Linked DNA regions of Oryctolagus cuniculus. The protein of the gene in region 2 interacts with the protein of the main gene of each other region in a pairwise test. Links are inferred from orthologs where the notes say so. Each region holds a gene or a part of one and is shown on either strand. Other genes may lie near its edges.

Evidence for each region. The genes of interacting proteins can lie anywhere in the genome.
Region 1: the proteins of USHBP1 (region 2) and DYDC1 interact in binary tests that used the Homo sapiens proteins (3 or more experiments, as listed by UniProt). The two-hybrid records come from large-scale screens. The link is inferred for Oryctolagus cuniculus from reciprocal best matches to the Homo sapiens genes USHBP1 and DYDC1.
Region 3: the proteins of USHBP1 (region 2) and KLHL38 interact in binary tests that used the Homo sapiens proteins (3 or more experiments, as listed by UniProt). The two-hybrid records come from large-scale screens. The link is inferred for Oryctolagus cuniculus from reciprocal best matches to the Homo sapiens genes USHBP1 and KLHL38.

The regions. Positions count from the first base shown.
Region 1 is NC_091446.1:71,137,767-71,141,413, forward strand, and holds part of DYDC1 (DPY30 domain-containing protein 1), read right to left. Parts: intron 2,199-3,647; coding exon 2,106-2,198; intron 693-2,105; coding exon 642-692; intron 1-641. UniProt on the Homo sapiens protein: Functions as part of axonemal radial spoke complexes that play an important part in the motility of sperm and cilia. Plays a crucial role during acrosome biogenesis.
Region 2 is NC_091447.1:65,254,465-65,258,350, forward strand, and holds the end of USHBP1 (harmonin-binding protein USHBP1), read right to left. Parts: intron 3,796-3,886; coding exon 3,670-3,795; intron 3,543-3,669; coding exon 3,406-3,542; intron 3,220-3,405; coding exon 3,079-3,219; intron 3,003-3,078; coding exon 2,847-3,002; intron 2,755-2,846; coding exon 2,505-2,754; intron 2,280-2,504; coding exon 2,055-2,279; intron 1,422-2,054; coding exon 1,324-1,421; intron 1,147-1,323; coding exon 1,024-1,146; intron 771-1,023; coding exon 575-770; 3' UTR 528-574; downstream 1-527.
Region 3 is NC_091437.1:149,368,124-149,371,253, forward strand, and holds the end of KLHL38 (kelch-like protein 38), read right to left. Parts: intron 2,821-3,130; coding exon 2,715-2,820; intron 1,763-2,714; coding exon 1,464-1,762; 3' UTR 641-1,463; downstream 1-640.

The DNA.
Region 1 (3,647 bases), on a different chromosome or scaffold from region 2:
AATTGCTAAAACATAAAAGTACATGCACAAATTTAAAATATATAAGAAATATGGTGAATATCTCAGGATACTCTCTTTAAAAATACAAACAACAGGGCTGGCACTGTGGCACAGTGGGTGAATGCCCTGGCCTGCAGTGCCAGCATCCCATATGGGCACCAGTTCAAGTGCCAGCTGCTCCACTTCCGATACAGCTCTCTGCTATGGACTGGGGAAGCAGTAGAAGATGGCCCAAGTCCTTGGGTCCCTGCACCCACATGGGAGACTGGAAGAAGCTCCTGGCTCCCGGCTTCAGCTAGCTGTAGCTCCAAACATTGCGACCAAGTGCGGAGTGAACCAGCAGATGGAAGACCTCTCTCTCTCTCTGCCTCTCCTTCTCCTCTCTCTATATAACTATGACTTTCAAATAAATAAATAAATCTTTAAAAAATACAAGTTGAATGCCCAATTTTTTCTATCCACTTTGAAATTTTGCTTCAAAGCACATCATATCTGTGACTTGTTATTACTAGAATATATATTTTGAATATCAATTGTGATAATATCCTTATTTAAAAGTTAGCTACTAATGCATCAAAATTAAGCCTTACATTTCAGGAAACTCATTCATTTCACATAAAATAAAATCTTTTGCTTCTCACCTCTGAACGTAAACTATCCTCACCCTTAGCGATACTTTCCATTCTCATTTCCTGTAACAGATAAAATGAAAAGAATACTTTGAACATACTTCATTTTGCTTCACATTAATTTCCAAGCATTTTTATTTTTACCAATGCTATATTCAACCTAAAGCCAAATTCTATCAGTCTTTGAAGAGTGATCTGAATGTACTTAACACAAAATCACAGACCTTGACTTTATTTACTTTTATTGTATTTACTTTATTTTTTTTATTTACTACTCTATTGTGGGGAGCAACTCCAACTAGACTAAGTTACTGGAATTAAGACTTATTCTATGCATCTGCTCTCCCACAATATGGCACTGGGAGAGGAGTAAACAGCTTCTACACAGCTGCCTCTCACCAACTTGACAAGCTGCAGGACCTGCTCCTGATTGGAGGAGAGCAGCGTGCTCGGCGTGTGGGTAGCAGAGTTGGGATTGGTGGAAGAGGACTATAAAGGAGGAGAGAGACAACATGCACCAGGAACATCTATCTGAAGGAACACCTGTGCGGCCCCCGAGAGAGCCGGCCGGCGGTGTGCCGCTCCCCCACGGAAGTGGGGAAAGTGGCAGGGAGGCCCGCCCCTCCACGGAGGTGGAGGGACGGCAGCCAACCCGGGAAGGACCAGCAGCAAACCCGGGAAGGGCCAAGCAGACAAAAGAACAGCGCAGGGTCCTGTGTCGTTCCTCCGCGAAGAGGGGGAGCGACACTCTATAGTAATAGAAGATAACTATGTTTCATATATAATTAAATAAAACTTTTTTGAAAGACTATTTCAAAGACAGAGTGACAGAGAAGAAGAGACAGTGAGACAGAAATCCTCCATGCTGGTTTACTCTCCAAAGGACCACACTGGCTGGGTTGGGACCAGCCAAAGCCAGGAGCCAGGAACCCCACCCTGGTCTCCCACACATGTTGGCCATCTTCCTCTGCCCTCCCAGGCCATTAGCAGGAAGCTGGATCAGAAGTGAAGCAGTCAGGGCAGGCGCCGCGGCTCACTAGGCTAATCCTCCACCTGCGGCGCTGGCACCCCGGGTTCTAGTCCCAGTTGGGGCACCGGTTCTGTCCCGGTTGCTCCTCTTCCAGTCCAGATCTCTACTGTGGCCCGGGAGGGCAGTGGAGGATGGCCCAAGTGCTTGGGCCCTGCACCCCATGGGAGACCAGGAGGAAGCACCTGGCTCCTGCCTTCGGATCAGCGCGGTGTGCCGGCCATAGCAGCCATTTGGGGGGTGAACCAACGGAAAAGGAAGACTTTTCTCTCTGTCTCTCTCACTGTCTAACTCTGCCTGTCAAAAAAAAATCTGCATGAAAACATGTTAAATGTAAATTATTGTTGCTAATACATCTAACATACTACTGTCTCAGAGATCAAAAACCCTCAGTATTTCAAAGAACTTAATATATCTTCAAACAAAACATTTATAAAACTTCAAATTACCTTCTCCAGTTGTTCTTGAGCTCTCTGCAGTTCCTCTATTCTCTGTCTCTCCTTTTCTTGCATTTCCAACTCCAGCTGGAGCGCCAGCTGTTGCTGAACATTCAGAAATACATAAGTCAGATTACAGTCAGATTAAGTGCAAGGAATTAACACTGTAACTTTTAAATGTTCCAGGGTAATTATGTTATACCCACTGAAATTTCAGCAACTCACAAAAATAAATGGTCACAGTCACTTAATATTTTAGGTTCTACAAGTATTTCATGAAGTACAGGATTTTTTTTAAAAAAGAAGCTTTCTTAACTGCTAATTTTGGAAACTACAATTTGGACAAAATGAAGTCACTTCTTTGTTCTTGAAGCTACAAATGAGACTGCACCAATTTCTCTAGATAAAATAAATGAATATTCAAATAGCCAAATCTTGGTTGCAGAACAGTAGGTGAGGAAATCTTAAGAATATTATCTGAACCGTGAATAACCAACAATATATGTTGCGCTAAAATTGGGGTCAGCAATACAGTCTAGGGGCCAAATCTGACTCAAATTGTCCAGCCCATAAGCTAGGAATGGCCTTTACACCATGCTCATGTTCATCTTATTTGCTTATGTATGGCCTACAACTGCTTTTACTTCCAACAGAGACCATATGAGGTGCTAACATTGTTTTGCACGTCTGCTCAGTCCACTGGCTGCAAATCACAATGACAATGTTATAAATCAATGGGATTTGCAGTACCTCAGTATAACTAACATGCACATTTTTATTTTAATTATACCCATCAACCAAAACAAGAAAAGTGAACTCTGAACGTCACACTTTTAAGGCACAATGGAGTATGGATTATTCTGTTGTCCATTTTTACATTTATTTCATCGGGAGGCAGAGAGGCAGAGAGATAGGGACAGAGGTCTCCCATCTGCCGATTCAATTTCCAAATGCCAGGAACTCAATCCAGGTCTCCCACATGGGTGGCAGGGACCCAAGTACTTGAGCTATCACCTGCTGCCTCCCAGGGTACACATTGGCAGGAAGCTAGGATTGGGAGCAGGACCGACTCTTGAACCCAGGCACTCTGATATGGGATGCAAGCATCCCAAGCACAGTCTTCATCGCTACACTAAATGCCTGTCCCATATTTTGTTATCAAATGAAACAGAAAAATATTGCTTTGGGGCCAGCGCTGTGGCACAGCAGGTTAACACCATAGCCTGAAGTGCCGACATCCCATGTGGGCACCAGTTCGAGTCCCGGCTGCTCCACTTCAGATCCAGCTCTCTGCTATGGCCTGGGAAAGCAGTAGAAGATGGCCCAAATCCTTGGGCCCCTACACCCACATGGGAGACCTGGAAGAAGCTCCTGGCTCCTGGCTTCAGATGGGTGCAGTTCCCAGCCGTTGAAGCCAATTGGGGAGTGAACCAGCGGATGGAAGACCTCTCTCTCTCTCTCTCTCTCTCTCTCTCTGCCTCTCCTCTGTCTGTGTAACTCTGACTTTCAAGTAAAATAAATAAATCTTTTAAAAAAATATGGCTTTTATTATAT
Region 2 (3,886 bases):
GGGTGCGGCCTATGCAAATGACATGCTAATCAGTCGCCTGCAATTAACCTGGCAGGAACGCCTCCCGCTGCCCCCAACCTCCGCGGGAGATCTGGAAGCTCCCAGGCTGCCCAGGGCCCGGCAGGCCTGTGCCCCACCCCCTCCCCGGAAGGACACGCATCGAGAGTTCCAGACTTTTCTCTGATGCCTGCCCTCAGCCTCCACAAACCCTGATTCCTCTTCCAGCCGACCATCCACGCCTTGAACCTGAACCTGAACCCCAACCTTGGGGGCCTCCAGTTGTTCTGGATTGTTCCCTGGGAAGCAGATGGGCAGGGGACGAGTGTCCTGTCCCCAGGGGCCCGCCCTGGGTTTCTGGACAAAGAAAGGACTTGGGGACATCAGCTCGGGCTCTGCCACCTTCCCTGTCCCCTGGATTGATTGTTCCGGGTCCCGGGGGGGGGAGGGGGAGACCATGACCTTCACAGCCTGACCCCGGTGGCCCAGGCAACCGGTCCCCACCCATGAGGACACATGCACCCCAGGGCGACAAGTCACTCCAGGCCGGTTTATGACACGTGGCTGGGGGTGGAGCCTACAGCAAGGTCTCCCCAAGCTGGGGGGGAGGAGGCGGGCAGGGGCACCCGGGCTGTTCCAGCGCCCGGGCCGTGGCTTCCAGTGCTGCCAACTCCTCCGCCTGCCGGGCCTCCAGGATTGCCACCTGCTCCTCCAACTTGCGCCGCTGCTCCTCCTGCTTCCGGTGGGCGCCTCTGAACGCCAGGACCAGGGCACTGCAGGGTGTGGGTGGCTGAGCCGGGGAACAGCGCCCCACCCCAGAGAACAGCACCCCCACCCCACCCAGGGCTGCGGCGGGGGCGGGGCGGGGCGCCGCGGGGGCGGGGCTACGTCCTAGCTGGCTCCGGGCATCCTGCAGGAAAGGCGTGGCCTGCACTGCACCCGCTCACTATCTTCCAAGTGGGGGGAACGAGGCCCAGGGACACACCCGCGGTCAGCAGGGGTGGGCTGCGGGGGGCGGCGGCCCACCTGTGCGCCTTGCATAGATCGCTGTTCAGCTCGGCGCTCTGAGCCCGCCGGACGCGCCCCTTCTGAGCCACCTGCTCCAGCTCCCGCCACAGAGCCCGCAGCTGAGCGCGAAGATCCGCGGCCCTGGCGCGGGAGTGGAGACAGCGGGGCTCCGGCCGCGGCCCGACCCGGTCCTCCTCTCCGCTCCCCACGCCCCTGCGCGCAGGCGCACGCTGCCACACCACACACACACACACACACACACACACACACACACGTCCCCACCCCCGCCTCCTCCGCAGAACCCACCCAGGCACACACCTGGCGAGCGAAGCGGCCAGCTCCTGGGCTAACCTCTCCGGGTCCCACGCCCTGCCCACCTGGCCTCCCTCGGTGGCGTTGGGGACAGCAGGAGGACCCTGTAGGAGACAGAAGGGAGGGAGGTGACCTCTGTCTAGAAGTGCTCAGCCCAGCCTGGGCATAGAAGCTGGCCTGGGGGGGGGGCAGCCAGAGCCCCTCGCTTCCCAGAGCCCCCATTCTGCTAAGAGACCCTCAAGTCCCTGATAAGGGAGATAAGTCACAGGGCCGGGGTGGGGTGGGGTGCCGAATATTGCTCCTTTGAGGGCAACCCAGGAGGGCTTCCTGGAGACGGTGGACATTCCTGGTGGCAGCACCGGCTTGCAGGTGGGAGGGGTGATGCGAAGAGCCCCGTTTAGAAGCCTGGGGCAGGGGCGGTGTGGTGGCACCGCGGGGCGGGCTGCTGCCTGGGACAGCCGTGGCCGTATCAGAGTGTTGGTGGCGTCCCAGCTGATCTGCGTGCGCCCCAGCTCCCTGCGCATGCGCCCCCTGGGAGGCAGGGGCCCACGACTCCAGGGCTTGGGTCCTGCCGCCCACGTGGGAGACCCGGATGGAGCTCCCGGCTCCTGGCCCAGACCCGGCCTTTGCAGCCATGTGGGGAGTGAACCGGCAGATGGAAGACCTCTCTCCCTCTCTCTCTCTCATCCACTGAACCCCTAGGGGCCAAGGGCAGCGACCCCCGAAGGGCCGCTCACCTGGGGCCGCTCCTCCTCCTCCTCCTCGCTGCTGCCCGCCCCGCTGCTGTCCCCCGCGCCGCTGTGGGGCCCCGCGGCTCCCAGCTGCGCGCGCTCCCACTGTAGCTGCTCCAGCAGGAGTGCGTGGGCGGGGCCCTGGGCGCGCAGCGCCGCCTCCCGCAGCTCCAGGCCCCGCTTCTCCCGCCGCACCAGCTGCAGCTGCAACATCAGGTCCGCCAGGGTCTCCTGAGGGGTCGGGGAGGGGAAACTGAGGCTGGCGAGCACGTTTGGGAAAAACTGGATTGAGAGGTCTGTGAGTAACAAAACTCCTATTCATCCCTCAAAACCCCAGCTTCAATTCTCCCTCCAGGAAGCCCTTCCCAGCCCAGCAGAACCTTTCCCCCTCCCCATCCCAACCACACCTCTGTCGGTTCTGACCCCCCCCCCCCAGGGACCACAGCCCCTGTGTACCCGTGTGGCCACCAGTTCCCTCTGTATCTCCATCTTCTCCAACCGCGGCAGGGCCGGGCCGGGCTGGGCTTCCAGCATGGCCTGCACCATGGCTTCTGCGTGGGGCATGGTGGGCGTGGGCTCCACGGTGGGGCCCGGCTCTGGGGGGGTCTTCACCAGAGCCTGGCGCTGCCGCAGACGCCGGGCATAGCCCTGCAGCAGGGCGGCCACTTCCTGCGGTGTGGGTTTATCCACACTGCTGCCCTCGGGGCTGCGGGAGGAGAGGAGGAGTGGGTGCCGCAGGCCATCACGGAGGCCAGCCCCGGGGAGCCCCAAGGCCCAGCGCGGTCCCCGGGCGCCTACCTTGGCTGTGCCTTCCGCGGTGCCGCGGCGTCTGCGCCGCCCTCCTCCTGTGCCAGCAGCCGCCACGCCTCCCTCTCAGTGGCCTCCAAGTCCCGCGCTCCGGAGCTGGCCTCGTGCAGGGCCAGGAGAGCCGCGCACACGGCCTCACGGTGCTCACTGCGGGACGGGGGTCCTGAGCGCCCTCCCACGCCGTGGCTCGCGGCCCCTCCCCCGCGGGGACCTCTCCCCTGACCTGTCCTGCAGCGCCAGCCGCAGGGCTGTAGCCTCGGCTTCCCGCTGGCTCAGCCGCATGCTGAGGCTCTCACACCGGCCCTTGCGCCCTTGCAGCACGGCCAGTAGCAGCCGGTTGAAGCATTTGAGCTTCTCGATGTTTCTGTCTCGGGGTGGGGGAGGGAGAGGGAAAACGAGGGGACTCTTTGGAGGGGGGGAGCAGCCAGGGGCCAGTTTCCACCCCGCTCCTACCCCGTTTAGACGCCCATCCCCGGGGCTTAGACGCCCATCCCCGGGGCGGCAGGACAGCGGCCGGTGCCCTTAAAAGCTCAGCAGTGGTGGCGCTCACCCGCGGAGCTGTTCCATCTGGGCCTCCAGGATCTGCATCTCGGGGGCCAGGGGTCGCGAGGGGAGAGAGCCCAGGATGTGCACACTGGAGTCACTCCGGATGCGCCGGAGCAGCGGGTGAGCCAGGGAGAGGGAGTCCTGCAGGGAGGACGTGTGCCCTGAGCCAGCCAGATGGCCACCGAGAACCCAGGGCCATGCAACCCCCCAGAGCCAGGATCCGGGTCTCCCCTGCCTGGATGCTGCGGGTTGCGCCTCTCGCACTCACCTGACCCCCCCAGGGCTCCCCATCCGCCCCAGAACTGCTAGAACCACTCCCTGAGCCTCCAGCGTGGCTGTGGGTGCGCGGAGACAGGGGCTCCAGCCTCATCAGAGCATCCTGTAGCTCCTGGACCTGCGAGGGGTGAGGACAATGCCGGGTTGGCCGCGGGTGGGGGAGGGGAGGTTTCAGGCTTGGGGGCTCCACCCACGCACCAGCCATGCCC
Region 3 (3,130 bases), on a different chromosome or scaffold from region 2:
AGCAGGGTGCAGCTCACCTCCCCCACGCCTCCCAACCCCAGTAAGAGAAACCAGAGCACGAAGAACACAAGCTGGGCAGAAAAGAGGAGCACAGCACAGACCTGGAGAGCTGGGTGGGGAGGCAGGCAGCATTGTGGGGGCCACTCTGGGCGGCAAGACCCATGCCACGTGCTGCTGTCCATGGGCAAGGACTTGGCCTACACTGCTGGGCATGGCCAAGGCGGGATGGGAGTGGTACCAGCGAGGAAGGTTCTCAGTGCCCCAGCTGACCAGGATGGTGACTCTACCCTGATGGCACATTACCATCATCTGGGGAAGCAGTCCCAAAATGCAGAGTCCTGGGCCCCACCTGTGAGACTCCCCATGCATCTGTTTGCAGGGGAGCTTGGCCCCCTGTTCAAACCTCTTTCCAGGTGATGGTACCTGTGGGTAGTGCTGACTCCCCAGTTTGGGAGGGGCTTGAGGGGAAAGGGGGCTCTGGGGACAGTCAGGGCTGGCGCCTGGAGGGCAATGCTTGCTGCAATTTCTGAGGAATCTGTTCGCTTTCCCCTGAAGAGCAATTCTCATAACATTTACCAAAATGAAAATCCTGATTAATTCTGCAGGTTTATGGTTCCCCAGAGGCTGGAGGAAAACATCGTTTGGCACCAGAAGCAATCTTTATTCTGGCAGGGCAGGACTGCTTTCTAAACACTAGATTCTCAATGTTCAGTGCACGTTTCCTGGCATTGCAAGGTAGTCCATCCACAGAACGTGGCGAGATACAGCCACGGCCATTTCTCACGCTGCCACCTGTCCTAAGCGCTCCCAGGGATCCTTAGCAGTGGAGCCCTGGGCAGATACGTTTCTTGTTAGCCCAGAATTTCTTGGTTTGGGGAACTGCTGCTATCCCATTACCTGCAGTTCAGATGGGCCGTTATCCACAACAGTTCACACATCTCTGCCCAGGGGGATGTGGTCCGGGACCCATCTTACAGTGGGAAAATAACTGGCCACAGTGTTGGCTCCAGAGGTAGGGATGGGGTTCAGAAAGGGCCCGTCGGCATTATTTGTTTATTTTTTGTGACTATGTGGGTAAGGGTCAAGTTTGCTCCTGAAGATGCAAAGCTACAGCACGTCAATCTGGATTTCCCAGGGGTCGTTGTCCGCACACTGTGTGGGTGAAGATGCTTGTTAGAGACTGAAGCCTAATGGAGAGAAGGTGGGGAGGCAGAGACAAAGAGGCAGAGACAAAGAGGCAGAGAGAGGGGAAGGCAGAGACAGGCTCAGAGAGAGAGAAATAGAGGCAGAAGGAGAGGAGGCAGACTAAGGAAGAAGCGGGGCCCAGGCGAGGTGTGTGTCTGTGGCATCAGTATGTGTGGGTCCGGGGCTCCAGGTCTAGTCCTGTGGACTCTCCCTGAATCCCTGTAGGGCGAAGCCCTGTGGAGCTGGGTTTCTGTCCCTTGCGACAGGAAGCATCTTGACTAAGACAGGAGGCTTCTGGAGGCTGTGTGGGGCAGGCACTGCAGAGTGAGGCAGGCGTGGTCAAAGAGTGTGTGAGGCAGCTGTCCCTGGGACGTCCACGTGTCTGTTTCGGGATCGTAGCAGTCAAAGGAGGCGGAGTCCTCGATGTTGCAGTCGCTGGTCAGCCGCCGCCCGCCCGTCACGTACAGCTTGTTCCCCATCACCGTGGCCCCGTGGTGCATCCTCCGGTCTTTCATGTCCGCGCATTTGGCGAATTTGTTAGACTGAGGGTCATAAGCAAGAATCCTCCTTGTGTAGCCTGAAAACGCAACGGCGCACGGGCAGTTCAGTGTTGCTCGTCTGGGCTGGGAGGTTAGCTGGTCCCTTCTACTTCCCAGTCCCCTCCACATCCAACTGGGATGCAGCCAGCTCCCTCCCCTGCCCTGCCCTGAGGCTGCGGCAATCCTCAGCTACAGCGTGGGCCGCTGAGCTACGCTGCCATGGCGTGGTATGTGGCAAAGCTGGGGTTGGGGCCCAGATCTGGCTGAGCCTGGCTCCTGCATCCTTCACCCCAAGTTAAGGCCACATATCAACCACCTTTAGATTAGGAGCGACCTCTCAGTTCTAGTAGCTTTCTCAGCCTCACTGGTTTTTCTCCCTCTCATACTCCTGTCCAAAAGCTGGAACAACCCAGAGGAAGAAGTCTTCCTTTTGGAAATCAGAAATAGGTGGCCACAGTAGCCCTATCTGGTGGGTACTTAGAGGACCCCCATTTTACTGATGGCAAACTGAGGCAAAGAAAGCCTAGTAACGTGCCAAAGAGCATATAGCCAGTTAGTGGAAGAGTCAGGAATTGAACCCAGATCTATCTGATGCCAAAACCAGTCCTTTAAACCACAGCACTGTGTTGCAGTTACAGAGAAATCCAGTAGTAGTCAGTGTTATTGATCCTGATAGCCAACGGTACCAGTGTGTTCGTAGCCAGTATTATTAGTATTGGTAGCTGATGTTACAGATCTGTCAGTGGCCAGTGTTAGCAACAACAGCAGATAGTTTTCTGTTGCTGTGTGTCTGCGGTATGCTAAGAGCTCGAGCCACAGCAGTATGCTTTATTGTCATAACTCTAGGAAGTAGGCATGACTTTGTCCCTTCTGTACAGAAAGACAGGGAGATGGTTCTGGGTAAGGAGAGGGCTTTCTCGGGTTGGCTGTGCACCTGTCTGTCAGAGAGCCATTGTCCCAGGAGTCGCCCGGCTGTCTGTTCACACTCACCTCCCACAATGACGATCCGCTCCCCCAGCACCACTGCCGGGGCACACACGTTCTTGATCATCCTGGTCTCCATTTTGAACCACGTGTTTCTGGAAATGTGATAAACCTGTGGGAGAAATAGATCCAGGGAACTGCATTCAAAAGCACATTTTGGGGTGTAAAATGCATACATTTTCATGGGGTAGAGTGCAAAATTGCAACCCATATATGTATAGAGCCAGCCGATCAAACAAGGCAATTAGCCTTTTCATTTCCCTGCCTTCATGTCTGGAACCTGCCAGCTCCTCTCTTAGTTCTTTCTACAGGATACAATGTATCATTGTGAACCCATGCACCCCACTGTGTGGTGGGACCTGTGACTTTTTACTTCTGTTGGAAGGTTTGAAAAATACAGAAGGAGTAATTAAGAAGGTGAA